Arabidopsis thaliana: one gene and its partners. The protein of the gene in region 2 interacts with the protein of the main gene of each other region in a biochemical or structural test. Each region holds a gene or a part of one and is shown on either strand. Other genes may lie near its edges.

Region 1 (11,241 bases), on a different chromosome or scaffold from region 2:
TTCATCTAAAAGCTTTGAATGTGAAAAGTGCTCCACCACAGCACGCAGAAATGAACCCTCAAAGGAGGATAAGAATACATGTTGGATATGAATGATAACTAAGCCATCCTAGAAGGATTTATATACCGCTCGTTTTGAAGACTATCATATTATATAGTCAGCTATTCCAACATAAGGGGGAGAATGTATACAGCTGGTGAAAAAGATAAATAGAAATGAATTATCAATGATCCTCGGAGTAAAGAATGTATATTAAGAGTCCAAAAGATAATTCAATTACAGAATTTAGCGTTGTAATTGCCAGACGCATTTGCTGACCCAAATAAAGTGATGAAGTCACTTATACCAGTTGTAAATTAAATGCTCCAGAATATAATGAATGTCCTGTAAAGACCAATTTCAAACTGCTATTGAGTCTTAATATCGCATGAAGCGTAATAGACCTTGGTTCCAAATATAAATATCCTCGTAAAAGTGAAAGAGCACAAAATTAAAAATGACCAAATTGAGGAAATAAATATTTTGATGATCTCTTGAAGAGAGTGAATGATCTCTAAAAGAGACATAAACATGACAAATAAAACATTCACGTACTTGACAATGAAGAGATCTAGCTAGCTATGTCATGTCAAAATATAATGGAATCAAAAGCAAATCGACGTCGTAATATATTTGCATGCTATGAGCAGTTGATATTACGGACAAAAAGGAGGATCATGAAAGAAACTCTATTGAAAAGTGTACACAAAGTAATGATTAGCCAAAAATGGAAAAGAAGAAATAGACATATAATTATAACCTCTAGTAGAGATATTTGGACTAGTAGTCTATGCACATGATGTGTAAAACCAGTGGAAAATAAATTAGTCTTTATGTGAAAGAATAGTGAAATTAATGAGATTTTCACAAAGATAAGAAATGTATTATGAAGAGATATATTCTCTTGTGGTGGATGTAATATTTTTTTTTAAGTATCTAAAGTCTGGCAATAAGAGACGGAACACTGGATATGACATTTATATGAAATTCTTGAAAGATATAATCTCTTAAGGATTAATTATATGAGAATTATGTTCTCTAAAACTCTACTCGATCGAATAAAAAAAAAATATGTAACATGGCATATAATCATATAAATGAATATTTATGTTGAGTTTGTCAAAATATATTGATCAAACTAATATTTGTTTTGAAAATCATTAAAACTCCTACAGAGTTATCATAAGTAATACGATGACAATAATGTATGATAAAATATCACTAGATAATGATATTTATAAATTTATATGAAAACCATATAATTTTGATCATTAAGATTATGGTTATTAATTCCAACGAGATATTGTATTTGATTGAAAATCATCTCATGAAGAAGATGTTTCCAAGGGGGAGATTGAATGATATGCGTGGATGTACCCTTTTTCCTTATCATAGTTTTTATCCCACATGATTTTTCTATGACAAGGTTTTTAACGAGACATTAAAGAACACGCAAATAATACACTTGATGAATATTAAAAAATTCTATCAATCATCCAAATGAATATTATACACTAATGATATTTAGAGAAATAAATAAGATGGTCAAGATGAATCATCTAAAAGATTCATGAGCAGAAGAATGGCGTTGTACTTTATCCAGAAATTTGTTCAAGAGAAGATTTGGCAGACTTATTCTCAAATACTGTTTATTCTCTGCCACATCTTCTAATCATGCAGAGATTTTACCAATTCATGAAGCTAGCCGCAAGTGTGTATGGCTAAGATCCATAGTTCACCATATACAAGAAGACTGTGGTATATATGCAGGGAAAAAGACTCCAACAATTATGTACGAAGACAATGCAGCATGCATCGCACAACTCAAAGACGGATACATCAAAGGCGATAGAACAAAGCACATCCTACCAAAATTCTTCTACACACACGATCTACAAAAGAGCGGCGATGTACGAGTTCTACAGATCCGTTCGAATGATAATCTGGCTGACTTATTCACCAAGGCGCTACCTACTGCTACTTTCAAGAAGTTAGTCTATCGTATCGGATTACGCCGTCTCAAAGATCTCGACGAATATACTCATAAGGGGGAGTAATTGTATGTTGCACTCTTTTTCCCTTAACCATGGTTTTTCCCATTGGGTTTTCTTGGTAAGGTTTTTAATGAGGCAGCATTTCAAATACTTTACGAGTTATGATACTATAATGGTCATCAGGGAGAGTGTTATGAATAAAGATGGATGCCCATTATAAGGCCCATCATCTAAGCCCATCATCTAGATGTTTCTAGGGTTTTACCCTTTCCTTGTACTCCTATATAAAGAACCCTTTATCTCAATGGAATAACACACTCATTTCTTCTATCTCTTTCTCTGTTTATAACATTTCTCAATTTATGTGTAATTTATCACAAACTTATTTTGATTAATTCACAATAATCTTTGATATTTTGAGTACAAAGGATTACTTTTAACTCAAATATATCCATGAAAGCCCTCTTGGCCCAATGATTAACCAAAGGTTCATTAATGCTTCTATACCAAAAGGTCTAGGATTCGAGTCCCAGCTACTGCGATTTATTAGCAAATTTGCATATTAATGGAGACAAGTGTGCAGGAGGTCTACAACGATGTACAATTATAGTTGTTCGCCAAGATTCTACGCAGAGAAGATATTGAAGGTGTCCATCAAGCGCATGGAAAAGAAGAAGAATGTGTCGTCTCTCTTGGATCTAATAAGGGTCGGAAGGAATTGTCCGTGGTAGAATCGTCTATGTAACAGTTCTCATTATTTATAATAAATAATAAATCTAAAACGGCAAAAAAAAAACCAAATATACCCAAATGTATATGAATTACTAAAACAAATGTAGTATATTCGGATTAATAATTTTTATTTTTGGTATTTGAGGTATTACAAGTATATATCTTATATTTAACTTTTCATACTATTGCGACATTTGACATTCACAAATGATTTGTCCTCCTTAATAGTAATTTTATTTTTATATAATCATAATATATAAAACTAGAGAATAAATGAGATTGGTTTACCTTAACGTATTCATAACGTTAACGTATCACCAAACCAGATTGTAGAATTAAATCTGATATAACATATATTAATATAAGATATAATATATTATAATACTTATTTTATATTACTTTTTTGATATATGATTTTGTCTTATATTAATAATTATATTCATGTTATTAACACACAAAATTTTCATTACATTTTAAATACTTATATAATATTAACTTTTATTTATAGCAATAGTACTGCTCTTAATGAAATTAATTAACGAAATAAAGAAAATAGCCCCAAATATAAGAAATGAATTTAAAACAAAAATCAGCCCAAAACACTAAATTTTGTAACGTTTGGTTATTAAAATCCCACACTAAATTGCTTATCTTTAAGCTAACATTAATAACTATTGAAAACCATACAATGAATTCTTGTGAAGAATCAAAACCAAAATTAATGCCTTTTAACGTTGACTAATAGCAATAAAATAGTATCATAATCAAAGAAAATGATGTCTTTTTAAAATATAAGTAGAAGTAATGAAGACATTGAAAAGAAGAGAATAAATGAGATTGGTTTACCTTAACTGTGGCATATTGTAGAATTAAATCTCCATTTTATGGCTTATAATAAATAATAATAATGGTGAGAAATAATAGAAAAACTATTTATAAATAGCAATGTTTCATGCATAACAAAACATCAAAACTATAAAACCCAAATTATATTCTGATCCACAAAATTTTCAATAGAAAATATACTATACACATTATGCTATGACCAAATTCCGGCTCCATCGCAAACCATTAACCACTTACGTCCCAAAATCACAACACCAGAAAATTTGTTTCCGTCAATATTGAAAATTATAGTATTCACATGTTTCTTACTGCACGAAAAAGGTAAATTGTTATTCTTATCCTATGCAAATTTAACATGTTCTAATTTTAAATCAGAAAAATCCTCTAAAAGTTTAACTATTAGTTACATTTCTTTGTTCTCCTTATTTTAACTTTTCGAATCATATTAACATAGTTTTTGTAACATAAATATCTTCTCTTTAGCTTTTTTTTTACAGAAGAAGATTTTTGTCATGTGTCAAAAGTTGATCATGAATTGGAGAGAAGTAGTAATGATTCCTTGATGAATTATCGTAATGCCAATAGTCGTTGCCAATAGTCAATAGACATTGCATTACCAAGCATTCTCCACAGAAAACATGTCTTTTACATAATCTAGGGTAGAAAATATTTATACAAATTTTTCATCCACACACAAATCTACATTATGGTATCATAAAATGCTAAATCTTTTCATCAATATAGACAGTTTAAGTTTTACTAATTGCAAATCTTAATCAAATGTCTAGCGGCATGATCAAAGCTGATGATCATAAGCCATGTCCTCCATCACGATGTCGAATAACACTATACATGAAATCGTGTGTCGTGTGAAACATAGATCATAACATTCTTAACCAAGACTCAAGCTAAGCTCCATCTCAGAACCTTGTGGGTTAGTTACATTTCTTTTTCTAGTACCATATCATTTGTATAAAATGTGCCAATAGTTATTAAACAAAGAGAAATACATAGAATATATTACATATTACATTACAATACATATATATGTATGTGAATCCAAAGCTTGTAGAGTAAAAAACAACAAACGATCCAAAAATGAACGATGGAGTGCGTGGAGCTAAGACAAAACTCCAGTGGTGTGTCTCAACAGTACGGACAAAACAGACTTTGTCCTCAGGAATCTCAGAGAGCATAAACTATCTCTCCACTACTGTCAACATCAATCTCAGATTCGGAATCAAAGTCATCCATGTCATCGTCTAGATCAAGATTATCCGCCATGAAATCATCGAGGCAACGATTACGAACAGTCGGAATCGTAGCCTCCGATATTATCTGCATAATCGTGTCAAGGCTCTGCATTGGCTGCTCAGGCTCTTGAAACTGACTTCCCATTCGGTTCTCATCCATCAAATCACCTGGTAGATTCTTCAAGAACCATTTATCGGATGTGATCTCCGGAATAGTGATTCTCTGCCACATTGGATCTCTCAGTTTGTCTATTTAGAACTCAAAGAACAAAGTTTTCTTTGAAATGTAAAACTTACTGTTGCCGGATCAGCCACGAAGATCCTCGATATTAGATGGCGACATTCTGGTGAGAGGTGTAAGTCCTCTGGGATCGAGTATGTGACACTAAGGATTCTCTGCGTTTTAAAATCAGTGGAGAAGCAAACATATACAATCAACGTTTGAAAGATAATGAGTTTGTGAATGATGATGAATGAGACAGCAAGAACAATTGAAAAACATTACTTGTATTGTCTTTCGATAATCTCGTGGCTCCTGTGGATCCTCGAATGGATAAGCTCCAACCAACATTACATATAATGTTACACCGCAAGACCATACATCTGCAAGCTGGAAAAATGTAACACCAGCTATTTCAGAGGACAACTCAAAGAATATTTGTGGTATAAACAGTCATATGGATAAGCTGGTTTGAACTCTAGACAGAGGAATTGGTCTCATGGCCTTACCTTGCCATCATATTCCTGTCGAAGAAGAATCTCTGGTGCAATGTATGCAGGAGTACCAACAGTTGACTTTGGTTGGGAATGAAGAACAGAAGACTGAAGAAAAGAAACGCATAGTTAATACTTGAGCAGAAATCAAAGCGAAAACAGACACTTAGTAGGAAACACATGTAGGTAAAGAGCATGAACGATAAGAAGCACAACGAGGAATCACAAGATGTCCCCCGCTGTTCTGCGCTTGGCCATACAGTAGCATATATAAACTTAGAATTCAGAAAACAAACCTTGAGAGAAATAAATAGTACCTTGGAATAACCAAAATCACATATTTTCAAACGAGGTGCCGGACTTCCATCTAACAATGTATTTTCCAGCTTCAGATCCCGATGGCATATTTGCTTCACAGGAAAATCAAACACAGAATTAAAACCAGAGTGGTATACACGAGAACGAGAAAAGTTCAAGTAAGTTGCAAGAACACTGCTCTGCGTACCATTGCATGACAATAGCTAACTCCAGATATAAGCTGCTGAAAGAAGAACCGAGCCTATACATAAAAAAACTTAAAGATCAGTAGTCACACATCAATACCACAACACAGTACGATAAATCAGAATCCAAACCTCATCTTCACTAAACCGTCCGGCATTACAAATCCGCTCATAAAGTTCTCCACCAGCAGCATATTCCATAACAATAGCCAAATGGGAAGGCGTCAAAATCACCTAAACCATTACAAAAACACACACAAAACAAACTCTAAACCACACTGACTTAATACACAAACACACACAGAAGAAACATCAAGGTGTATTATATTATACCTCTTTAAACCTAACAATATTAGGATGTCTCAATGATCTATGATTGATAATCTCCCTCTGAACATTTTCATCAATCTGCAAAACAACCATAAAAAAAAGTATCATCATTTATTGAGAAATATCAAAACTTTTCAAAAGCATTTAATCATAGTAACAGTAAGTAACCACCATTAAAGACACTAGATCAACAAGCTCTAAAAAGGAAAGCTACTAAATCTGGAAACTAAAAATAATCGATCATCAATCAATCACTAAAGCCTATAAATATCAAATCTTTTTTTCATTCAAAAAAAAAAAGACGAAACCTTTTCTCCTCTCTCGATGTATTTAACAGCAACAAGCTCCTTGGTGACTCTATCGGTCATGAGACGAGCAACGCCGAAATTACCAGAGCCAATATCTTTAACGAAGTCGTAACGATCACTGTCGTGCATAATCGGTAAATCAATCGGCATAATCGGTGAATTAGTCGCCGGATCCATTTTTTCTGATTCTTCTCTTCCTCTATTGCTCTTCCTAATCACATCAGATTAAGTCGAAGAATCTTCTGGAGTAGCTGGAATCTAGAAGAAGAAGAAGGAGAAAAATATCTAAGGAAGGATATGAATTTGGGGGAAAAAGATGGATCAACGACGAATGAGAAAGACAAAGGCAATTATTGGTCGCTCTCTAAGTTAGATAAGAGGAGAGAGATGTTTGCAACGACACCGTTTTCTTTGTTTTAGTTATCTGATTTGATACGACAAAGGCCGCCGCGTTTTGGTGATTTTTTTTTTTTTTTTTTCAAATATTTTTTTTTTTGGTTTTTTTAGGTATCAATATTAATTTTACTGTTCTATATTATCAACACAATTTGGTTGCTCCTAAAATTTGTAATTGAATGAGTACGAATTGTGAGGTGAGTAAATTGTTATGTCTTTCTTAAATTAATTATGTGAATGTCTCATGTATATATGTATTGTTTTACCTTCACTTGTACTTGTTTACTTCCAAAATATCCCAACTTTATGTGGGTGATTGTGGTCGTATTTTGAGCCAAGTCAGAAATTGTTTTTGTCACGAACAAAAAAAAGCTTCTTATAGATCATATAAGACGTTTTCACGTACACAGCAATGTTACATTAACCTTTTTCTAATTTTATAACTCTTGTCTAGTCGTTTGTACATAACTACAAGTGCACCTTTATTATTTTGTTATGGCAGAGTGTAGTTCTACACAAGGTCCTTGTTGAATGTTGGAGTATTTGTAAAAGAAATAATCAAATTGACTAAGGATCCTGATTAGAAATGTTAAGGTTTACGGCTTGAACTGCCGCTGAGTTTATTAACGTAAAGATAGTGATGAGGCAAAAAGTACTTTTTCGAATCTTAAAAACCAAAAAAAGCTCCGTTACCGGGAATCGAACCCGGGTCTCCTGGGTGAAAGCCAGATATCCTAACCGCTGGACGATAACGGATGTTTTGTTAACTAAAAACAATAATTGTATTTATATCTTAATGTAGTTATACAAACGACTAGACAAGACTTAAAAAGATTTTAAAAGCTTACCATTGTTATCAAGATTCAATATGATAATGATTAATGTAGGTTAAAGCATGGTCCAAATTTTTGATAAGAACTTTTGTCACGGTAACTCTCCTCATCGTGCTGCATCTGCGTCTCTTGCATTTGAGCGCTTTGTGTGGATGCAAAACGTTGAGCCTCGTTATACAACTGTTGACCCGTTAAACAACCACCGTTATTAGGTGTGTGTTCCGGTATCATCATAGGATTGTTATGCATTTCCAGATTCGTCATCGAAGGTGGTGGCACAAATGTGGGGACGATACAGTAAGAGGCAAGTTCGTTCTTGACGATCGCGAGTTGTTCTTCCAAGTCTTTAATCTGACTAAGGAGGTTGTAAATGATACCCAGACAGCCATTGACCGGATCATTGGCTTGAACTTGTGCCTCCCAAGCGAGCGTGTCCATGGCAAATTCTCTTTGGCATGGGTGAAGACTGTTGATAAGTGTAGCCACATGGCTTGCTCCAAATACCTTGTGAACCGCTTCGTAGTTGTCCAGTTTAGTCGAGGGGAAGTAAGGCGCAAACACACAATCTTCTGTGCATTTTCTCCTCAGGTGCTTGCATGCCGCGCATGGTGTCGATATTTTGTCCATTTGATGAAACATCATAATCTGTGAAAGAAAGAAAGAAAATGTAATTGTACATTTTTGATCATTTCTAGAATATATACAAAATACATTTAAATATAGGATATATCGAAATACATGATGTAATTTTTTCCTTTTAAACTGAATCAAACAAACATATTTACAGAATCTTTTTCTTAAACACGAAAATCCGAAACATGAAAAAAACAAAAACAAAAGGGAAAATCGTATGCCTAGGTCTATACACGAACTGAAAAAAAAAAATCACAACCTACGAATTTTTATGTGAATTCTAAACAGTAAAGAGATTAAGGTTTCTAAATAATATAGTAATCAGAATAGCCAATCAAAATCGTGGATTGCGTTGTACTGCACTCAAATATGTTAGAGAAGGTGTGAAGATGAAAACACAAACCTCAATGCATAATAAGAAGATGAATCTAATCAAGCGAATATCACCTGATTTCTAAACCCTATATATTAATAGAGATAAAGAATGGATATAAAATGAAATCAAATCGGTATTTATATGAAAATAAAAAAGGAAGATGAATAGAGAGATTCAGTTTTTAACCTAAACACAATGCTTCTTCAAATTCTATTCCCTACTTGTAAAATGCGTTTTGAGAAAGAACCTAAAATTGATCAACACAGATTTAGGTCAAAATTTCCTACCACGCAATTTTACTTATATAGTACCAAAAAATATTCAGGTTAGTTAATATTTTTGAAAAACAAAATCTAGATAAAACTGAATTCATGATTATCCAAAAACAAAAAATATATATATTAGCTTCCAAAAAAGTAACCAATCAAAATCAACATATAAGATTTGATATCTAAATTTTAATTAATTTAATTTAATTAGAAAAACGAAATACATTATTATTTTCCAAAAAAGTAACCAATTAAAATAAACAAATTAGATTTGATATCTAAATTATCATATTAATTTTTTTATTAATTATTATAGTTTACCTCTCATCTTTATATGATTCTAATTTTGCAAAAAATAATATCATCGTTATAAAAAATAATTAGAGTTTTTTTCGCATATGCCATAATTTGAATTTTTAAAAACAAATATAAACTGTTCAATACATAAAAAAATATTATAACAGTCAAAAATAGATTTAAGAAAACTTTATACTGAGTAACGGGTCATCATTTGAATATTTATATTCAATTTCATACATATTATTTTGAAAGTTATAATCTTATATACAATAATAATTAATAACATATTAGATTTTTTTATGTGTATGATGTGATTCAATTTTTAATACAAGCAGGAAAATTCTAGAATTGACGGGTTTAGATCGATATTAATACAAGATGGTATACTACAGGTGAAACTCTAAAATTAACAATTAAAATACAAGTGTATAATCTTAAACACTAAACAATATAAATAATATCAACAAAACATATACAACTCGCAGTTTACTATACATTTAAAATCAAATAAAATAATATTATCTATTTATAATTCATCTTTACAATAAAATTTTTTAGTTTAACTAAAATATAAGCCTACCTGCGGTATACCGCAAGTTAATATATAGTTAGCTCAATATCATTGTAATAATTAAATATTATTTGCTTCGTTCCAAATATTTTATAAGAAATTTAGCAGAGTTTTACGTATTTGCTTTGGCCTCTCTTCAGCTACAGTTAGAGATCCAGATATGGCGGATGCAGTAGCAAGATTTTTTTATGTTACTATTTTATTTCTCTATACATGTTTCCATGAAATTAACCAACTACAGTAAAACCTCTATAAATTAATAATATTGGGACCAAAAAAATTTATTAATTTAGAGAAGTATTAAGTTATCGATAAATTAATTAAAATTGTACAAATTTTGTAAATTCTTACAAAAATTTGATATAAAATGAAGTTTTTTTTTCTTATAATCAATAATATTTATGAAACAAATTACAAGTACAAATCAATTATTAAGTTTAAAAACAATACAATTTTTTTTGATGTTGTAAAATATTAGAATTGAACATACAAAAAAATTAATAAAAATTGAAGAAAAACAATGTCATATTTTATATATGATATTTATAATATATATTGGTAAATTTATATTATTATTAATTTATATTATTGATGGGACCATATATTTATATAAGATTTTTAAAAAAAAATTAGAATCTTATTAATTTATCGAGTTATATCAATTTTTATATTGATCTTAATTCGAGACTGGAATAATTAATTAATTTATAGAAATTATTAATTTAACGGGTATTAATTTATAGAAGTTGTACTGTAGTATGTAATAAAGTTTGTTATTGATTTTAACGTGAGAGAGGAAAAAAAACGTAAACATATTTGCTTCGTTCGAACAAAGGGCAAGGCCCATAAACAAAATCTAAGTAAAGCCCAGTTAGTGTTAATGTCATATCAATGGAATTGGTTTCTCGTCGTTGGATGAATCTAAAGCAATTGTCAGATTTCAGCATCTCCCATGGAGGAATCAAGATTCGAGTATGCTTCTTCTTCTAGCTTCTTCTCGTTATTTGCATCTTTGATCGTGTTTTTGACGAAATCTCTTTGTTGGTTTTACTACAGTTCTGAAGATGTTGATTATGCTGAGATTGTTGTTGTTCGTCATGGTGAAACATCTTGGAATGCCGAGAGAAAAATCCAGGTAAATTTA
Region 2 (10,455 bases):
GTGAAGAGACTAGATCTACGTTTTAATGGATACTTTATGTACTATGCATTTTTATCGTGATGATGAATGATGAGGAGCCATGTGCGTAAATATGGGAAAGTGGGTCTCTAGCTTCATCTAAAATAACTAAGAATTAAACACAAAAAGACAGGGAAACAAAAAAAGTCGCAAATAATTGTTGTGAAATGGGAATTTGTGGAATAAAGAAAGACTTGAGGGAACATGTGGGAAAATTTCTAATAGCAAACTAATCTTGAGATCTTAAAAGATGGCACTAACACAAATTGTTAGACTATGGTCTCAAAGATAATGAATTTATACTATGGACCTTAAATGATCAGCAAATAAAAGGTGAAATGGAAATGATCAATGTGAATAGTTTTAGCATTTGGTAAGAATCTCTGAACCAGTTCTAGTAATCAGAATGGTATGCTCAAACTGAGCAGCGACGCCACCATCTGCTGTCAGAGTAGTCCAGTTGTCTGGCCATGTTACACATTCTGTGGTTCCAATCGTGAGAATCGGTTCTGCAACATAATGTATTCATCGGTTTTTTATTATATAGTAATCACCTAATCATAAGCAAATGAAAGCCATGACATGGAAGGGGAAAAAATGGCTAACCAATTGTGAATGTCTGTCCCTCAACCATTAGTCCAGGCTCATCATTTCCTGCAAATTGGATTAAAATTCCTCAACCGTAAGTCCAGGTTCATATGCATATGCAGCCAACTATTGTTTTTGATTGATGTTTCCTAACATAAGAACGATTTTGCTAAGGAAGAGATTACTTACGGTAATGATATATAAGAGGTTCGGAGTGGAATACTGGTCCAACACCATGCCCAACAAACCGCTCCACAACGTTGTAGCCGAACTTTTCCGCATGCTCACTGTTGGAAATTGAAAGCATTGAGATTGTTTGTTCTAGCAGTGTCCTCAAATAGTACATTTCTACACGGTTATATTGAAATCAAGAATAGTTTTGGTTGCAACCTGATTCTTTTCCCGATTTTCTTGAAGCTTGCTCCGTCTTTACAAACTGCAATACCTCTCTCCAAACATTCTTCCGTAACCTTACAGAACAAGAAACCGACAACAGTTAGCATATTAAAACAGAATTCATTTTTTTGTGAACTTGAAGACAAAACACAGTGAAGAGAAGAAGAAGAAGAAGAAGAAGAAGAAGAAGAAGAAGAAGAAGAAGAAGAAGAAGAAGAAGAAGAAGAAGAATACTACCTTCACAAGTCGTTTGAAACCTTCGTCAACTTCTCCACAGAAGAAAGTTCTCGACGTATCTCCATGGTAACCCTGTCGATGTTTCAAGTTGTATGTAGAAATCAAACAAAGTGAAAGTGTCTGCAAATTAACAAAAGAAGCGCAAATGACTTACATCCAAGTAAACCGTGACATCGATGTTGATTATATCCCCGCTCTGCATTAAGACTTAATAGTTAGTGATAAACAAATGAACTCCTTCAAAGCTATTCAGCTTAAAGCAGTAAAAAGCACACATGAGGACCTGTAGCTGGCGAGAATCTGGTATTCCGTGACACATACACTCATTAACTGAAGTACACACACTTTTAGGAAATCCACCATATCCAAGAGGTGAAGGATAAGCACCAGCTTCAATAATCATATCATGCACAGCTTTATCGATTTCATTAGTCGTAACAGATGGCTGCAGAACCATATAAACAACAACTCAGACCACATATCCATAACATAGGAAAACAAAAGATCCACAAGGAAACTAAAATCTTACCTTAACCAAAGTTCCAGCATAGTTTAAAACCCGAGCAGCAAGCTCGCAAGCAGCTCTCATTTTCGCAATGCCTTCAGGACCAGGAATCTGGAACTCACTTGATATATCCGGTAATACACCAGACTCAACATAAGGAGGCCTTGGAATGTGATCAGGTACAAGAAGACGAGGCGATACTCTTCCACGTCTTAATGGTGGATTTCTCCTAACTTTTGATTTAGTTTCAAGCTCTCTCATTCTATAAAATGTAAACCAAATTAATGTACTATTAGCTCTATGACCAAAAGATGAATTCTTTTTTCAAGATTGCATTTTTATGATACAAGAGAGTTAAACAAAGTTAATTACTTTCTGATTCTAATGGCTTCCTCTAACCCAGAAACTTTCTTGGCAGAAACATGGAACTGTCTCGGAGAATATGAGTTCTTCTTACCTACAGATATGAGAGAAGATAAACTTCATACACCAAAGTTCTTCAATTATACAACATTCAAAATCGGAACAACGGAGAAAGTTTCAAAATTTCCAATCAGATGACCAATAATTTCGATATCTTCCAATGAAAAACGAAGCAATAATTGAATAACGAACAGAGCAAACGAAGAAACAGTGACAAGTAAAAATGACAAACCGGAGAGTGATAAAGAAGAGGAAGTGACCGGAGCTCCGAGAAAGCATCTCGACGGAGCTAAGTACTCGCCGTGAAAGGAAGAGCAGAGTTGCAAAGAAGACGATGACGAGAAACTGGATAGAAAAACCGAAGACGCCATTTTCGCAAACTTCACTGCTAAAACCCAAAATATCAAAATTTGCAGTGAAGAGAAAAAAAAAATGGTTCTTGATATTTTAATTAACAAACTAATGGACTTTAAAGCCCATTGGGCTTGTATATGATCGATCAAGTATAGGCTACTTTAGGCCATATGGGGTTTATGAAGATATGATTTGCTTGAAGTTTTGAATTATGACAAGATTATCTAAAAGATATTTGACGACATTTTTATGGTTCTTGTAACTAAAAGAAATTATAGCTATTAAATTAGTAACTTTATGATTAACTTGTGTTTTTCTAAATTATGATCGTGCTTTTTCAAAATTTTCCTATCTTATAGAATTTGTTAGATTGAGAATTAGTCGTTGATAAATGTATATCTAAATGGATCCACAAAAATCAAACAACAATAACGATTATGATGGTGGATTTTTTCTAGTACATTTATTTATTTTCTTTCTTTCTAGTCTTTGGTATCAACAAGTCTAATAATTTTCACTAAAGCTACTGCTGTGTTACTATTTGAACACAACTTGAATTATGTGTGGATGTGTGTTATAGACAAAAGTATACGTAAAATTGCGTGGGCATTTTTAATTGTATAATAGGATTTTATGCTATAATGGAATAATGTTATAGTCCACCGAATTGTATCGAAAGAAAGTGCATATGAACGGAACATTCATTAGATCAATGGTCAATATATTCCTTTATGTAGGTACATAGTAATGTATGCGGCAGGTGTACTATTATCATCATATGTTCAAACTCTAACGCATATACTATATACCATTTCGTAAGAGATTAACAGAGTTTTAATGTTATTCGTTTTAACCATCAAATTCCTTCGAAATAAATAGCTATATATACCTAAGTTTGTAGAGAATCTGAAGATACTCATAGTCGCAGCCAGCGAAAGAAAGAAAACTAAAACACTTTTAGAAACAAATATCTAGATTGAGTTAAGCCGAAAAAGTAGTAGATAGAATTATAAATACATATATATTATTTAACAGCAACATGAATCTCTCTACCAACACAATAATTTCTGAAGCTTAAAATAATATCTTGCAAAAGCTTAAATAGCATTCATTTTAAAATATCTTTCTCTTTGGTTATTTGTATCGGAGTATGGTCTATCATATCATCATACGATTATATACGTTTACAGACCCTGCAAACTTTTTCTCTTTTGGTTGGAGTTATTTTATAAAATTACGTACGCATAAGTCATAACTCCTCAAATCTATATACAAAAAGCAGCAAATACCATAAGCAGTAGCTAATGCATACATATAAATACGAGTTCCCATACACATAAAATGAAAAGAAACCAAGGTAAGATTTGGTAACAACATTTTCATCATCTCATGCTAATAAAACTCTTGAGACATATCTAAGTAACCCTTTTTAAAATTTATCCTATAAATAAAATTTACAGTTCATCAATACAACAAAAACAACTCATGAACCTTTGGTAAACAAGAAGAAAGAAACCGATGCAAATAAAGAAAACGAAAATGGAGTTTTTAAAAATTATTAAAACAACAAAAGAAAAAAAAAAGAAGAAGAGTTGTTACGAGGCGTGAAAGATGCGTTGCTTCTTGCTACACACCAACGATAACATCTCAGTATCGTTCACTCTTTTGTTTCCTACGACGTCGTTTCTTGAACTCTCCGGTGAAATGTTAACTCCGAACAATCTCAAAACCCGACCCGCATCTAAATCTGACCCGGATCTCGACTTCCACCCAATGTACAACTGTTGATCCTGACCGTTAGATCTACTGAAACTAACCACGTCACCAGCACGTAGATTCTTCTCCTTAACGAACCTGCTCCAACCTTTAGTCAAAACATAACTCTGACTACTGTTCCAATACGAGTAACGGAACCTCCACACTTTCCCGTTAACGTCCTCAAAGTTCAACAACACTCCTTTCACGGAAACGTTACTTGACGGTAACGGAAAATGTTTCTCTGCGTGATGTTTCGGTATAACCAAACGGTTTAGCTTCCCAACGTCGCTTGGCGTTACCGCTTTCTCAAACAGTGCCTCCGCCGATCTAAACCCCGTCGTAGAAACACCATCATTACTCAACCCCGACGTTAACAACGTCCTAGTCATGTTTCCGTTACCATTACGACGCCGTTTACTCTGCTCTAACTCTTCGTTATAAGTATGTTTCCTCAACATATCAACGATCTCAGATTTCGAATGAGAATTCAAGAAATCGACCTCGTCTTCGTCCATCTTCACGTCTTTGAAATTTGTGACGGCGTCACGGCGACGGAACCTGTGAACCGCGACGTCGTAGGCACGAGCGGCTTCGTCTTCTTCGTTGAATGTCCCGAGCCACACGCGCTGGTGTTTCTCGTAAATCTGAGCTCCCCATCTTCCGTTTGGTTGTGGCACCACACCTTTGTATTTTGACGACGGAAGCTTCCTAGATTCAGCTTCTACGCCGTTCTCTGAATCTAACACAACGCTTGATCCGCTTCCCATCCTGTATAAGTTACCTACCGACGACTTTTTCGCCGGAGTTATCGCCGGGGTTTCACAGATGGAACCTGTACTTGTAGTACTCTCATCAACGCTACTCGATTCCATTTAATCTGTGTTTTTTTTTATGGTTTGAAACAATGGAGAAAACAGAAATGTGTTTGTGTTGTGTTGTGAATTATGTTGTGTATATGTATACGTGTGTGTGTATAATATATATAGAAAGAAGGAGAAAGAGCTTGGGGGGAGGGAAATAAGAAACAGCAAGTGTCACTTCTGATATTATTATTTTATGTTTCACTTTTTATTTGGTAATAACAAAAAATATATTTGTAAGAATGCGTGTTTGAGGGGAGTAATTATAGTATATGTGCAGGTGCATGGGAAGTAAGATGGGTGTGTATGGGTCAACTCAAAGAACACAAAGGAAGCTTCGTGGAAACATAATGAAATATACGGCATTTAATTTAGGTTACTATATTAGGGTCTATTTCATGAACTGTTGATGTAACTTATAGAAGAAAACACACGAAGCAATAATAATCCTTATAATAAGTTAGTATTTTATTTATGTAAGAAAAAGAGAAAAGAGAGTATAGGAACAAATATAGAAATGAATATGTTGTGGGCTGTGTGCATGGGGAAGTGGGACCCATGTGTGGGCCATGGAATGGATAAAGGGTCCACGTGAGATATTGACATCATTTTAGTGAAGTTCATCCCCCCTGAGTTTTGATGCTTAAAATTTTAATTCACTATAATACTATAGTAACGATAATAACTATATGAAAAATAATAAAATAGAAAGTATTAGATTTGATAACCATGTTCAGATCCTACCGATGTTAAATGGTGTCTCTCTTTAAATTTTTTTCTCTTCCAAATCTGATTGTTATTCTTCACTCTTGAATGATATTATTATTGAAAAAGCTATAAATAGTTGTTTAGTCATGAACTCATGATATATATCTTCTTTATTTTCCATTTCCAGGTTTTTATTCTTCTTTCTATAATCTTATCCTACGTTTCTTTTTATAGAAAAAATGTGTATTGCTATGAGGATTATTGTCCGTATAATATATGCACTCGATAGATTCCAATTCCAAATTCATAAAAAATCTCTCTTTTGTTGTTCTTGTAATTATCCCATTTTATTATATATATATATATATATTTGGTATCAACATTTTATTATATTTGTTTCTCATAAGTGGGTGTATGTAATGTAAAAAGATTTTAAATATGTCTTATATATTTATAAGAAATACTTAGCCAACGAGCGACCGACATCATAACAAGTATTTCTACTGGTCAATAGAAATCCAATTAAATCAGTTGCCTTCAGTGTGTGTGTTTTACTCTTATAGAGAATAAATACGTAAGGATTTAACGCCATAAATTGTTTGCATTATATAATATGGTTTGAGGACAATTAACAAGTGATGTGGATAGCTTACGATCTTATCTGATATATTTGTTGCTTTGCAAAAGTATTCTTCTACCCATTAGTTAGGTTTCATTTTTTATGCAAAGAGCCAATTAGAGAACTGCGAAATATCGTGAGATTCGACTTTTATTGGCTCTCCCTGCTCCAATAGAAAATGTTAACGATTTATATCTCCTTTTTATATCTATTAATTGATTTGCCGGTTTCTATTTGAATTCTTGTAATTATTTATTATAGTATTTATTATCAATTTGATCCACTAGGATGGGAAGTGGGCCAATGACAAATCACTAAGAGGCATGGTCGTACGTGTCTTGTGTGGATGAATAATAATATGGGCATTTCTTGACAGCAGGACAATTACTTTTGTCTTTTTTCGTTTTTTTCTTTTTAAGTTAAAGAGGCATTGCTCAAAATACCTAGGCGCTAATTAGTGTTAGGATTTTTTTGTTTCTTAAGTTTTACCACACATTTTCATCAAAATATATATAAGTAAATTGGCATTTAAGCCCATATGAAAGAAATAAGTGCTGATCAACTTTAATTGATTTTGTTAAAATCAGTGTGGTAGAAAGTAGTGACTGTGTAGATTTATAGACAACACAATAATTAGATAATCACACTCTAATCAAATTTTCAAATTTAAAATCGTATTTTTATGTTTTAAAAAAACTTAAAATGGTTCTAAGTATATCATATATGGGTGGGTATGCGACAAAAAGAAATAGATGGTTGTATTTTCCTTAGAAGAAATTGAGTATGTTGTCACGTGGCACTTGTTGCTAACTCAGCTTTCTTTTCTCATGGAATTTGTCTCCGTAAGAGAGATTGGGCTCATCCATGTTTCTTTTATGATTCTAAGTATTTGAGCTCCAAATTGAAAAATTGGTTTTGTAAGTGATACATTATTGAAGTTGTGTAACCTCTGCTTACAAAAGAGAGACATTTTCACCAGTACACTTTCATTGTTTTATACTTTTGATTTGATCATATCAGAATTAGTTAGTTTCTTCTATACGTTTTGTAAATTTTGTTTGGAATTTATATCATTGCATATTTTTATAGATATTACAAAGATAGTGAAAGTTGTTTTGTTATATGATAAAAGAGTAACAGAACTTTTTATCATATTTTTACTCCTTTATAAGAAAACTACAATTATATACTGTATGTTTTTAGAAAAAAGAGGTAGAAGACCTTTTTTTTTTTTGAGCAAAGGAGGTAGAAGACCTTAGAATGTGATTTATAGAGAAACAAAATAGATAAGAGTGCTAAAGGAAAAAGTATCTGATTTATGATGCTAATTTTTTTTTTTTTGAAACATCCAACATAGGTATAAATAGATATTATTAGTACGGACGAGTTGTTATTGGTCCGCAGGTGGACCTCATTTTTCCTCAACTTGGTCCTTTAGCTTATTTAGCTTGTCAATTCGTTGATATATTTAATTATTTTCTTGTCGGTAAATAATTTCCATCAGTACCTATTTTGTCAACGTATAACACACGATATATCGGAAAAAACGATTTTGGTTTCTTTTCTTTTTTCAATTTTTTTTGTTAAAGTTTTTTCTTTTCTCAACCAGAAAACTCGACTTGTCTAATTGAATTATAATGCGTTGGGATATTTTTTTATTTCATATATAGCTTTCACATTGAATGTGTTGAAGTAACTTTTTCATGGTTTCGTCTTTCTTAATTTTAAAAATACACACACTGAAGAAAAAATATACAGACACGACAATTAAAAAAGTTATTTTATATATTTATATTAGTTTTTAATAATGTAAATAACTTTTATATTATTTTATAGCGACTCTAAAGATGATGATGTAAATAATTTACAACGGTTTATTATTAACATAACTATAATATTTATATCAATTATTGTAAGAATTAGGTTTGAAATAGTTTATGCTACCACGAATGCAATCAACTATAACATTTTTCTCCCCCTTTATGTTTATGAGCTTTCATGAATTAACATATAAAAATAAGTAATATTAAATATATATTTGATAAACGATACTAACTGGTAGGTAATACTGTAACTCTTCTTTAAGAATAATTTTCTCCATCTTTTTAAATTTTTTAATTTTCTCCATCTTGCTCATGTATTTCAAACATAATTATTTATTCGGATTCCTACCTGTATCCAACTCAACGATTCCATTTCTTGTGCTGGCTCAAATTATTTTATTTTATCTTGCTTGGGTATTCAATATTCATCTAACTCAGAAAACAAGACAAGAGTCCTGATTTAGTATTACATGGAGCCTCGAGAAAAACGTGTTTTTATAAATGGTTTAATTTTGATATTGGGTACTCTGCATGCTATCTTAAACAGTATATATTTGCATATGTTCAATAATCTCATCAATATACCCACTATAACTCATGAATATACTACCAATTATACTCATAAAAGAATATGAGTCTTTGAGCTGGAAATTTCACATTAACCCTGTGACACCGATAATATAAATTAAAACTATAGAATATACAAAACGCTTTATAAGTAGTTCTTTTTCAAATCAAATTACAATAGAAGATGGCTGATAATCGTCAAAGTATAGGTTTCTTCCTCTTCGGATGCAATAAACTGATGATGTCCAGAAGATTAGGCGGGGAATATATTATTTTGTAGATTCTGTTATTATTCTATATACTGTATGCGACCAAAGATAGAAAACGTAGTCTAAACGAATATCTATCAGCGAGAATGAAGAAGATATTAAAATCTGAATTGATTTGGAAAAATTGCTGATGGATCTGCTTACATCATTGACTTTCCGCAATTGGATCAGCTGTTGATGGTTTTTATATGGACTATAAATGCTGATGGTTTAGTCGTTAGTTACTTACCTATTTATTAATCACGTAAGAGAAATGACGGCATATAAAATGAACATAATTGTAAAGTTAAACTAATTGTTTTGATTATGCTTTAAGTTCTTAATAGACTTTTTCATTTGCGCACACTTATATTTTAAATGATTTCTGTAATTATCTAAAATAATTAAAAGCTATAGTTTATTAAATATTTACATAAAAATACATTATCACTCGATCGAAAATGTAGTTGATTACTTTATAAATAGATTCATTGTCCTATCATGAATTACAGTACTGAGCGGCAATAATAAAGAAACGTGAAAATCCGATTGCTACCATCTAATTAATCTTTTATTGTTCCACTAACCGAACTTTCGATGATGTCAAGTGGTTATCGCCTTATCGGTTAACAATTACGGCTCTTTATATATCCTCATTTAGATTTCCACATCATTATCTTACGAGATTAGTCAACTAAGTATGTAACATTTCGTTGGTGATGTATTTAGGAACATTCGTTTGGTTAAAGAAAAGTAAATCCTCGAATCATCAAAACGCTATATCTAATTTGTAAAGCAAATAATTTCTTAAAAGCGAGTGTTTATCTGCATAGATATATTTTAGATTAATTAATATCCATCACGATTATCGTTAGGAGATATATACAGTATGATAATGTTTTAAAATAAGAATCTATGTTTGGTGCCACATAGAACGCGCGCTTTCGGTTAGAGATGAACTAATATAATTTTACTTAACTTTAATTAGAATGACTTAAGATCGCTCATGGGCCATGGCTGCGCCATCTTAATCCCCCACTACCAACGACACGCCACGTCATATATCACATTATTTATTCATTCTTTAAAAACCGGCCGGTTCAGGTATTATTTGGCCGACACCGTTGGAATTAGGAACTGAAACAAAATTAACTAGTCATAAAAATATTGTTACGCATTGCTTAATATTCTGTCATGTAGATATACAATCATAATTATGAATATCCGAATGTTTTGATTGTTTGTGTGGACATATCGATATATGCAAGAACTTGTGACAAAATTTCAAGAAATTGTGGTTACTCTCACTCTCTCAGCTTTGGTAGTTAGCTATATACATAGTAGTATTAGA
Region 3 (11,274 bases), on a different chromosome or scaffold from region 2:
TAGTGGTTTATCACATATCCGACGTCAACCGGAAATATTAAATTAAAAAGTATGAATAATCTATCTTTGTATATCCGCATTTACATTTTTTTTTGTTTCTGGAAAAGTATCGATCCTGTTATATATACCTAAAGTTTAAAATGCGAAATAAGAAACAAAAAGAGTTTAGTTTATGAAAACATTATCATAATGATACCAAAAAGGCTAAGGAAAAACAAATTACAAAAAGGCTACATCATTTTTTAAAAGAGAGTGTGTGCTTCACATATAAACAAGGAAACGCATATAATAATCATCAAGTAGCTAGATGAAGCTAAAGAAGTAGTTAAGTGTGAATGCTTGGCAATTAAGATTGTGTTGGTTCATTTATTAACAATCTTTGACCACTCACTAATTTATTTTTGGCTCTCTCTTCTATATCATCACCGTTTTATCTTTATAAACCATCCCTCAAGACTCTCCCAATATTACATGATGTGTTTAATCCTCACGAATTCGCATGAATCAAAACCGGCTGAAAAACAGATGTAACATTTAAGTTAACATACTCACACCAATCTAAATTATTAGACTTTCATTCACTTTAACACATTTGTCCATACCATGATGATCATAACAATCAGTAGCTAAATCAATGTGAGTGTGGCTTAGATATTTGATCTGAATGATTCATGAGAAACATGGATACTTAATGTTCATGTGCATGTGCATATAATAGTATATTAATCTCACCAGTAGGATGCTTAGTATAGCAATAAAGAGAAGGTGGTGAAATTGATGAGCATCGGCCATTAAATTAAGCACTGACCCATTAATTGCGCACTTACCCATAAACACCATTCACTCCTTTTCATTAACTTAAGAGTAAAATTATACATACACCTCGCTATCTCTAACACTAGTCACACTAGTGTACCTTCCTCGGTACTCTTATCAATGTCTCGTGTCGCAATAAATCCATATAAAGATTTCTAACTAGGTCAATCCAACATCCAATTTAATACAACAGTCCTTAGTAGATTCTAATTTAAGTGTGTCTCTATATATATATGGACCGACAAAATCAATGACCTAAGATTTGACTATATATTTCATGCAAATATGATAAAATGCTATTCATCCAATTAATCATCAATATTGTAATTGGGCTGGCCTTTTGCTTATATCTTTAGGCATTTTCTTTAACAAAATTAGAGCCAGGCCCATCAATTAAATTGAAAAATGCTTAGAAGTTGTCACGTCACTGTCCATGTCATCCATGGTGGGATTGGGCTGGCCTAAAGGACTTTTCTATGTAAAAATTAGAGGCAGGCCCATCAACTAAATTAAAAAATGCTTAGAAGTTGCCACGTCAGTGTCAATGTCATCAGTGTCTATTTCTAACGCCGTCAAGTAACGGAATAACGCAACCGAATATTCTTTCATCACATGGCCGCTTCTGCAGCACGTGACTTTCAAGCTTCTGTTTTCCTTATGAACTAAGTTTTTCTGTTTCCTCCAAACTATTTTTTTTAATTAGAATATCTTGTTATTTATAACGAATATATCTTCTTCTTTTACTTATTTTTAACACAAATATTTATTTGTTTGATACGAATTCTCAAAATGAGAAAAACGAAGAAAAATAGAAAAAAATCGAAACGGATAAATACAGAGAATTTAGAGAAAAAAGGTTTGTATTTTAGGAGACAAGGACGAGTGAAGTCGTGCTTTTTCTTTTTTTATTTCATGTTAATTTTAATATTTTTGGGTTATAGTTTCTTAGGAAGCAACATCAATCATCAAAACGCGGCGGCTCTTGTCGTATCAAAGCAACTGAACGTTGTCGTTTTGGGACAATCCTTATCTCTTGGGGCAACCAATTATTGCCTTTTTTCTTCCTCTCTTTCCTTATTCGTTCTCTTCTTGAAGATATTTTTCCATTTATTTTCTCGAATCTTCTTCTTCTTCCTAGATTCCAGCGACTTAACAACAACAACAACAACATATTCTCTGCTGGGTATTAGATTCGAATTTCTCTTTTTGTGATCAGAAATGGATCGAGCTCCGGTGACCACAGGACCGTTGGATATGCCGATTATGCACGACAGTGATCGATATGACTTCGTTAAGGATATTGGTTCTGGTAATTTCGGTGTTGCTCGTCTTATGAGAGATAAACTCACTAAAGAGCTTGTTGCTGTCAAGTACATCGAGAGAGGAGACAAGGTTTCATTTTTAAAAATCTCATCTTTTTCTATTTTTGGAAGTTGATGATATTTATTTAGTCCAGTGATCGTTCATTTTTAGTGTTTGGTTTAGCTTTCACTTTCCAGATTTATTGGTTTCGTACTTAAAGTTAGCGTTTTTAGATTTTGATGATTATGCTTTTGAGTGCTTTTAATGTGATTTTAAAGATGTGAGCTTCCTAACACTTGAATGATGATTTTAATTTGTGATTTATGTGAAATTTTGGATATTGAAATGATTTTTTTAGTTGGTTTTGAGTGTTCTGCTTTTGTAGATTAGGACAGTTGTGAATGACTTGTAACTATGGGAGTTGCAGATTGATGAAAATGTTCAAAGGGAGATCATTAACCACAGGTCACTAAGGCATCCTAATATTGTCAGATTTAAAGAGGTAAAATTTATACACTTTTCTTCAGTACTTGTCTTTTTGGAATTTGTTAAGCCAGTGACTCTTTTAAACTCTGTTTCTTGTACTTGAGGATAGGTCATTTTGACGCCGACTCATCTGGCTATCATAATGGAATATGCTTCTGGCGGTGAACTTTACGAGCGGATTTGCAATGCAGGACGGTTTAGTGAAGATGAGGTTTGTATTTGGTTCTCTTATCGGGTTTACAGGTCTCCGGTTTCCTTATGGTTTGATCTCTTCTTGTAAACAGGCTCGGTTCTTCTTTCAGCAGCTTCTATCTGGAGTCAGTTATTGTCATTCGATGGTATGTAGAGAATCTGTTTCATGGAGCCTATGGACTGGTTGTATTCTTGTTTTTTTCTAACTTGTTGTTAATACTCTACTTTTTTTCATGTGCTGTGAAGCAAATTTGCCATCGTGACCTGAAGCTAGAGAATACATTGTTGGATGGAAGTCCTGCTCCTCGATTAAAAATTTGTGATTTTGGATATTCAAAGGTATCACAAATGATTTTGTTCTTTTGGTATCAGAAACTATACACTTGTGGTTCCTCCATTGTCATGTTCAAATGTGTTTTTAAAGTGTTTGCTTATGCATTTCTTTTTGACAGTCTTCTGTTCTTCATTCACAACCAAAGTCAACTGTTGGTACTCCTGCATACATCGCTCCAGAGGTACTGCTTCGTCAGGAATATGATGGCAAGGTAAAGGCTTTTAGAGAATTCCTCTGTAATCTCTGTATTTCTAAGGATGAATAGCCAATCATTGAGTGTTACGGTTACCAGATTGCAGATGTATGGTCATGTGGTGTGACCTTATACGTCATGTTGGTTGGAGCGTATCCGTTCGAAGATCCAGAAGAGCCAAGAGACTATCGGAAAACAATACAGGTAACCGCTTAAAACGTTGTTCCTTTTGTTCATCTCTTGATGTTCCTCTTATTCTCTTAATGATTCTGAAACACAGAGAATCCTTAGCGTTAAATACTCAATCCCTGATGACATACGGATATCACCTGAATGCTGTCATCTTATTTCAAGAATCTTCGTGGCTGATCCCGCTACCGTAAGTCATTCCCTTTCCTCATCTCTAATCTTTAAACCATCGGCGAGATGACTGATGTTTGATGTTGTTTGTTACAGAGAATAAGCATACCAGAGATCAAAACCCATAGTTGGTTCTTGAAGAATCTCCCTGCTGATCTAATGAACGAGAGCAACACAGGAAGCCAGTTCCAGGAGCCTGAACAACCAATGCAAAGCCTTGACACAATCATGCAAATCATCTCTGAAGCCACAATTCCCGCTGTTCGAAACCGTTGCCTAGACGATTTCATGACTGACAATCTTGATCTTGACGATGACATGGATGACTTTGACTCTGAATCTGAAATCGACATTGACAGTAGCGGAGAGATAGTTTACGCTCTCTAATAAAAAGCCTTTTTTAACAACCAAAACACTTCTCTATCTGTTCTAAGACCAGTAGTGTTCTGATCCTCTGGTTTCAAATTCTACCAATTTTTGTATTGTCTCTGTTTGTTTCTTGTTTTCTTCATGCACACATATATCATATATGTAATGTAAAATATCATCTGTGTATATTATATATATATTCCAATGTCACACAAAAGCAAATTAACAGTTAAAACAGTTGAAGCAAGTTGAGGTTATGTTCTGTTTTTTCCTCTGTGATCGTCAGATTCTTCATTTCTGGTTTCAATATTTTCCACAAGAACGCAGTATCTTCGTCGCATTTCACTTCCAGATTCTCTAGATTCTTCACAGAATCCGGTAACTCGCATCGATAACAATCTTTCATCGAAATCTTCTCAAGCTTCTTGAGCTTTCCAATTTCTAGAGGCAGGTTTTTCAGTTGGAAGCCACCAGAAACATCAAGAAACCGCAAATTGTCGAGTCTGTCAATCGTTTCAGGTAGCTCTAAGAGACTAGCACAAGAACTCAGTCTCAGCGTTTCAAGGTCCCTTAAGTCACCTATAGCTTCTATGACTCTGCAAAGCTTGTTACAATTTGTGACACTAAGCTTCTTCAATGAAACAACTTGAGAGATCCAATATGGTAATTCATCAAGATTGTAGCAATAGTCAATCTCGATTTCCTGTAGACTTTGTAAAGTTTCAGAAACATCTTCTAATTCGTTGAGAGCATCAACAACGTGACAAAACCATAAGGACAACTTCTCAAGACTCTTGAGACCAAGTTTGGGAATGTCAAGCAAACTGATTGAAACTTTCTCGAATCTGATCCGTTTCAGGTTTGGTAACGAGCTGAGACAAGACAAGTTAGTCAACTTTGCAGGCTCAAGACCGTGATTTATGATAATCACAACCTTCAATTCCTTCATAGTAGCAATGAAGTTTGGTAATGCATAGTTTGATGAAGAGATATTAAGAACTAAAGCTTCAACATTTGGACAATCCATTTCAAACCAACTTGATGCAAATGAATCATCTGTAAACAAAAAAGAAGAAGATCAATCATATGAAGTAAATATGATTAAAGGGTGTATGAAACAGAGCAAAGAAATAATTATATTACCAGTAGAGATAGAAAAGAGAGATGCATTAATAACAATAGGTTGTTTTGGATTTAAACACCAGTTTGGGAATTTGTTATCTTGTATCTCCAAGTTTAATCTTTTCCTTTCGAAAATCGAAGACGACTCTTTTAGGCATTGATTTATAGCAAATTCTCTAAGGACGTTGTCTTGTTTAACCAATAACTCATTGTAGAAACCATCTTCATACTCATTTCTCCTATATTAAAGCAAATAAATAAAGGAAAGTTGGGAAAAATATGGTGAAACCGTTTTCTATAGGCTTTAGGGTTAAGAATTGGTAGATGAATGGAAAGTAACATACCCAATAGGAAGAAGTTTAAGGAGATTGCGAGAGGCAAGATCTTGGAGGTTATTCATACCCTCTTTACCGTATGATGCAGACCATAAGTCAATTATAGTGGAAGCTATTATCCTTTGGTCTTCAAGAAATGAGGCCATGTCCAAGAAACACTCTCGAAGATTGTGGGGCAAGGCATCAAAGCTTTGAATCGAATTCGAATTCATAATGGTTCCTATGAAGGGAGAGGAGAATTATGAATTAAGATGAAAACCAAGCAATTTGAGAGAAATTTTAATCTATTGACCGACTCTTTCTTTGATTATAAAAAACGTGACTCTTCATAAAAGCCATTAGATCAAATTTATAACGGAAAAGTCACGCGGTACTTTGAAGTTTCAAACAAACCATTGTTTGAATCCCAGAACAGAAGTTTAGCTAGCAAAGGAAAAAGGAGACTTGACTTCACATTTTAGGATTTTCAAAGAATTTACCAACATTATATTTTTAACATTAAGAATGTTGAATATTACATTTATAGTTTGTCAAAAATGTTGGTGAATAACTCTGTTCAAATCTATTCAAGTTAGATAAGGATCAAGGATTTAGTAGTACTCTTAAATGGTTTTAAAAGATTGACCTACACAAAATTCTTTGGCATGACATTTTCTCTGTACTTGGACTCAGTAGCCATTATAATGTATATAACAACGAAAATAATGAATAACAAACATTACAAGATCCACAGAAGCTACTACGATAACGTTCTTTCACTTAAAACATTTGAAGCAAGTTCAGGTTATGCTCTATTTCCTCCTCCTGAACTCTCAAATTTCTCATTTTTGGCTTCAGCCTTTCCCACAACAATCCAGTTTCTTCATCGCATTTGACCTCCAGATTCTCTAGATTCGTCACTGACTCCGGCAACTCGCATCCCGAACACTTTCTCATCGAGATCTTTTTCAGATTCTGCAGTTTGCCAATCTCTTGAGGCAACTTTCTCAATCCTAAGCAATGAGAAATATCCAGAAACCGCAAGTTGCTGAGTCCCTCAGTCGCTTCAGGCAGCTCAGAGAGATTCATAGAAGAACACAGCCTCAACACTTCTAGTCTACTCAAGTTGCCTATAGCTTCTGGAAGTTGAGAGAGCTTGTTACAGTTTGTGATGCTAAGTGTCTTCAATGAAACAATTTCAGAGATCCAATACGGTAACTCATCAAGATCATAGCAGTAGTCTATGTCAATCTCTTGTAATTTCGATAGAGCATTAGAGACAACTATATCTTCTGTGTCGTAGAAAACCTCACCGAAACTACACATGACCAAAGACAGCTTCTTAAGACTGCTGAGTTGCAGTTGGGGAATGTCTAGCAAAGTGATTGAAACTTTTTCCAATCTAATCCGTTTCAGGTTTGGTAATGAGCTGAGACACGAGAAATTACTCAATCTTGCTGGATAAAAACCGTGATTTGTGATTGTCAGAACCTTCAGCTTCTTCATTCCAGAGATGAAGCTTGGCAATGCATAGTCTGATGAAGAGAGATTTAGAACTAAAGCCTCAACATTGGGGCAATCCATTTCCAACCATTTCGATGAGAACAAATCATCTGTAAGAAAAAGAGAGACCAATCATAGTTATAGAGAAGTCATATTTCTAGAAACAGCAGAGATTTGTATAATCATTAAGTTTAATTTTCAGAAAAAGAAGACCCCAAAGAATTACCCGTAGAGATAGACAATAAAGAGGCATTAATAGTATTCAAACACCAGTCTGGAAATGTATTCTCTAGTATCTCCAGATTTAGTCTTTTTCTTTCTAAGTTTTCCTTAAATTCGCTTTGACAGATAGCCAACTCCCTAAGGATATCATGTTGAGTCACTAAGAAGTCATTGTAGAAACCGTCTTCGTGCTCATTTGTGCTGATAAAGAAATAAATAAGTTCCACTAATGGTAGATGGCAAGAAGGTGCAAAGATATAGATTTGAAACATAAATAACATACCCGAGAGGAACAAGTTTAAGTAGATTCTGGGAGGCAAGGTCTTCAAGGTACATATACAAGATACTACTACCTTTACCGTATAATTCCACCCACATATCAATTATTACCGAAGCACGTATCTTTTGGTCCTCAAGAAATGAGCCCATGTCCAAAAAGCACTCCTTAAGGTTGGGATCCAGAGCATCAAAACTAGGCTGCAAACATTCTAGCACAGTTGGATAAGGCTTACCAAGAATTTTTTCCCCTTCAGACCAGCTTTCCACCTGACCTTTCCATGTATTTAGAGATCGTCCTTTGAGTGAAACACCCACTACTTCAATTACGATTGGGAATCCATTGCAACGTTTCAATATCTGCAATACTCACCATGTGAAAAAAGAAAAAGATGAATCTATTGATATAGTTACAGATTTCGTAGATCACAAATGTATAGAGGTTCATCTAGATGAATGAAACAACAACCTTCTGGAGGAGATCTTCGTACTCATCAGGAGACGTGTTACAAGGTCGCGATGCCCAATGAATGAGAAGGGCTCTAGCATCATCATCTTCCAAAGGTTTCAAACGATAATTGGAATCAAAACTCGGAAAGTCAAACCGAGAAGTCACCAAAATCTTATAATTTGGTAACTTAATTTGAAATTTCTGAAGGAAAGAATCCGCTCCCCGCCACACATCATCCAACACCAACAATATAGGACCATTTTCTTTAAGTTCCTCCAGCAGTTTTCTTAAGCCAACTTCTGCTTGAGAATCATTCTCAAATGTAAGTGCATTGTAACCGTTGTGCTGGAGTAAATTCTGTACTATTACCCTAAAGTTAGGAGTATTTGACACAACATTAAAGAAGATATGCTTGAACTTCCCTGCCAAAGGAAACTACATGAGAAACCAGCTCAACTATTCACGAGTAAAAATTGAAACTTTAAGACTTAATGTGGATCAACAATACATACCTTTGATATCTGGATCGTCACAAAGCCGACTAACCAGCGTGGTTTTCCCGCAACCAGGAGGAGCAGAAACCACAAGAGTAACCACAGAATCGTCAAGGAGTCTCTTCTTTAACTCCCCCAATGGCCAATCCAATCCAACAATAACCTTATCAAGCTTGGGAACCGAACAAAGATCCCTAAAAACAGGCGCAGGAACACTCAAAAGGTCCATTCTTTTACTTAAACCATCAACCGAATTCACAAGGTTTCCCGTCAAACCCAACAACGTCAACTGATTCCTATGCTGAAGAAGCTGAAGATCAATCTGACAGAACTTAAGCATATCCTTATTGATTCTCTCAATTTTTCTAGTATATTTAGATTTCTCGTACCACTTGACTCTTGGAAACTTCCGAACAGCTACATCAGCTCTTTCGATCGTATCCCTAAGTTCCTTTAGTTCCTTTACACCAAAGTCAAGCTCTTTTTGCATCGAATCAATCTTTTGAGTTAACGGAAACAATATCTCCATTGTTGATACGAGATCCTTGGACAAGGGTTTGAAAGCTTTGAACTTTTTTGCTTCATCAATCACAACTTTCAGGAGCTTGGAAAACACAGCTTCCCCAATAGAACCTATTCCCAAACTAGCCCAATCGTTCATTCTTTCACTTCTCAGACAAAACCCAGAATCCAAAAAAAAAAAAAAAACTTGTTTGTAGAATCGCTGAAAATCGAAAAAGGGGATCACTGAAATATCAATGTGTGGTTCATAAAAATGTAGATAGACGAAGGAGACGAATTGCATAGCAAAGCTGTCGCCTTTGACTTCTCAGACTCGGTCCCTTGCCGCGCAATGACCAAGGAAAACGACTGCGTTTGCGTTTGGTCTTTTACGTTAACCACACGTTGTTCGATAGACGGAACGTGCTCTCCTCGTACGTGCGAGAGTATGCCTTTCTTAGATTGGGCCTTTTTCAAAGCGGCTTATTCAAATTAAGCCTTTATGTTTCTACGGCCCAATATAACATGCGTATTTGAAAAGCTCATAATTTAAAATCACTAGTACATACAATGATACAGCGTGGTTAGTAATTTCATTACAGAGCAATAAACTAGTATCAAACCCGAGACATAGCATGTTGACTCTTGTAATATTATTACTCGTTTAGTCTAGATTGTGATCATTAAAGAGTCAATAAGAATACACAAGCTACGAAAATGTTTTTTTTTTCACTCAAAACTTAAAACGTTAGAAGCAACTTCAGGTTATGCTCTGTTTCCTCCGTGTGAACTCTCAAATTTCTCATTTCTGGCATCAACCTTTCCCACAACAATCCAGTTACTTCATCGCATTTGACCTCCAGATTCTCTAGATACCTCACTGAATCCGGCAACTCGCATCCCGAACACTTCCTCATCGAGATATTCTCCAGTTTCTGTAGTTTGCCAATCTCTTGAGGCAACTTTCTCAATCCTAAGCAATGAGAAATATCCAGAGACCGCAAGTTGCTGAGTCTCTCAGTTGCTTCAGGCAGCTCAGAGAGATTCATACAAGAACACATCCTCAACACTTCTAGTCTACTCAAGTTCCCTATAGCTTCTGGAAGTTGAGAGAGCTTGTTACAGTTTGTGATGCTAAGTGTCTTCAATGAAACAACTTCGGGGATCCAATATGGTAACTCATCAAGATCATAGCAGTAGTCTATGTCAATCTCTTGTAAATTCGATAGAGCTTTAGAGACATCTATATCTTCTGTGTCGTAGAAAACCTCACCGAAACTACACATGAAAAATGATAGCTTCTTGAGACTGCCGAGTTGCAATTGAGGAATGTCCAGCAAAGTGACTGAAACCTTTTCAAATCTAATCCGTTTCAGGTTTGGTAATGAGCTGAGACACGAGAAATTACTCAATCTTGCTGGATAAAAACCGTGATTTGCGATTGTCAGAACCTTTAGCTTCTTCATTTCAGCAATGAAGCTTGGCAATGCATAGTCTAATGAGGAGATATTAAGAACTAAAGCCTCAACATTGGGGCAATCCATTTCCAACCATTTCGATGAGAACAAATCATCTGTAACAAAAAAAAAAGGTGGTCATATTTCTATGCATGATTTTCAGGGGAAAAAGAAGAAGAGGATCTTAAAGAATTACCCGTATAGATAGACAAAAGTCGAGCATTAATAGGTTGATTTAAACACTCGTCCGGAAAGTTGTCCTCTCGTATCTCCAAATTTAGTTTCTTTCTTTGCATGATTGGTTCCAATTCACTTTGAAAAATAGCCAACTCCCTCAGAATATTATGTTGAGTGACTAACAACTCATTGTAAAAACCGTCTTCGCGCTTATTTGTCCTGGTAGTAAGTAAAACAAATAAGTTCATGATCAAATGGTAGATGGCAAGAAGGTGCAATGAAACAAATGTTGTAAAAAACAACACCAACGTACCCGAGATGAACAAGTTTAAGCAGATTCTGGGAAGCAAGCTCATTAAGGTATAACATGAACTTGTTAGTACTAGAACTACCTCTACCATATAATTCCATCCATATGTCAATTATAAGCGAAGCACGTATCTTTTGGTCCTGAAGAAATGAACCCATGTCCATGAAACACTCTTTAAGATGAGGTTTCAGGACATTGAAGCTAGGCTGCAGACGTTGTCGCACAGTAGGATTAGCGTTACCAAGAATTGTTTCCCCTTCAGACCAGCTTTCCACTTGACCTTTCCATAAATACAGAGCTTGTCCTTTAAGTGAAATGCCGACTACTTCAATTACGAGAGGGAATCCATTGCAACGTTTCAATATCTACCATGTGAAAAAAGAAGATGAATCTAG

The links.
Region 1: of the proteins of RAV1 (region 2) and SNRK2.2, one has a biochemical effect on the other in vitro, tested with the Arabidopsis thaliana proteins (one study listed by BioGRID).
Region 3: of the proteins of RAV1 (region 2) and SNRK2.3, one has a biochemical effect on the other in vitro, tested with the Arabidopsis thaliana proteins (one study listed by BioGRID).

Annotation. Positions count from the first base shown.
Region 1 is NC_003074.8:18,737,009-18,748,249, forward strand, and holds SNRK2.2 (SNF1-related protein kinase 2.2), read right to left. Parts: upstream 7,150-11,241; 5' UTR 6,897-7,149; coding exon 6,720-6,896; intron 6,490-6,719; coding exon 6,415-6,489; intron 6,316-6,414; coding exon 6,214-6,315; intron 6,138-6,213; coding exon 6,084-6,137; intron 5,989-6,083; coding exon 5,875-5,988; intron 5,687-5,874; coding exon 5,594-5,686; intron 5,475-5,593; coding exon 5,370-5,474; intron 5,261-5,369; coding exon 5,162-5,260; intron 5,088-5,161; coding exon 4,797-5,087; 3' UTR 4,586-4,796; downstream 1-4,585. Other genes in the region: LBD28 (LOB domain-containing protein 28), read right to left, coding at 7,994-8,590; AT3G50520 (Phosphoglycerate mutase family protein), read left to right, coding at 11,050-11,069, 11,154-11,232. UniProt on the Arabidopsis thaliana protein: Together with SRK2I, key component and activator of the abscisic acid (ABA) signaling pathway that regulates numerous ABA responses, such as seed germination, Pro accumulation, root growth inhibition, dormancy and seedling growth, and, to a lesser extent, stomatal closure.
Region 2 is NC_003070.9:4,537,082-4,547,536, reverse strand, and holds RAV1 (uncharacterized protein), read right to left. Parts: upstream 5,370-10,455; 5' UTR 5,152-5,369; coding exon 4,117-5,151; 3' UTR 3,567-4,116; downstream 1-3,566. Other genes in the region: MAP1C (methionine aminopeptidase 1B), read right to left, coding at 382-527, 625-672, 796-893, 997-1,076, 1,240-1,311, 1,394-1,435, 1,523-1,684, 1,769-2,006 and 2 more. UniProt on the Arabidopsis thaliana protein: Binds specifically to bipartite recognition sequences composed of two unrelated motifs, 5'-CAACA-3' and 5'-CACCTG-3'. May function as negative regulator of plant growth and development.
Region 3 is NC_003076.8:26,708,663-26,719,936, forward strand, and holds SNRK2.3 (sucrose nonfermenting 1(SNF1)-related protein kinase 2.3), read left to right. Parts: upstream 1-1,639; 5' UTR 1,640-1,672; intron 1,673-1,757; 5' UTR 1,758-2,034; coding exon 2,035-2,208; exon of another isoform or gene 2,209-2,545; coding exon 2,546-2,620; intron 2,621-2,713; coding exon 2,714-2,815; intron 2,816-2,888; coding exon 2,889-2,942; intron 2,943-3,042; coding exon 3,043-3,135; intron 3,136-3,248; coding exon 3,249-3,341; intron 3,342-3,422; coding exon 3,423-3,527; intron 3,528-3,603; coding exon 3,604-3,702; intron 3,703-3,779; coding exon 3,780-4,070; 3' UTR 4,071-4,281; downstream 4,282-11,274. Other genes in the region: AT5G66890 (Leucine-rich repeat (LRR) family protein), read right to left, coding at 4,282-5,108, 5,196-5,413, 5,519-5,721; AT5G66900 (Disease resistance protein (CC-NBS-LRR class) family), read right to left, coding at 6,269-7,101, 7,218-7,414, 7,497-7,849, 7,959-8,362, 8,453-9,239; AT5G66910 (Disease resistance protein (CC-NBS-LRR class) family), read right to left, coding at 9,676-10,508, 10,589-10,788, 10,883-11,244. UniProt on the Arabidopsis thaliana protein: Together with SRK2D, key component and activator of the abscisic acid (ABA) signaling pathway that regulates numerous ABA responses, such as seed germination, Pro accumulation, root growth inhibition, dormancy and seedling growth, and, to a lesser extent, stomatal closure.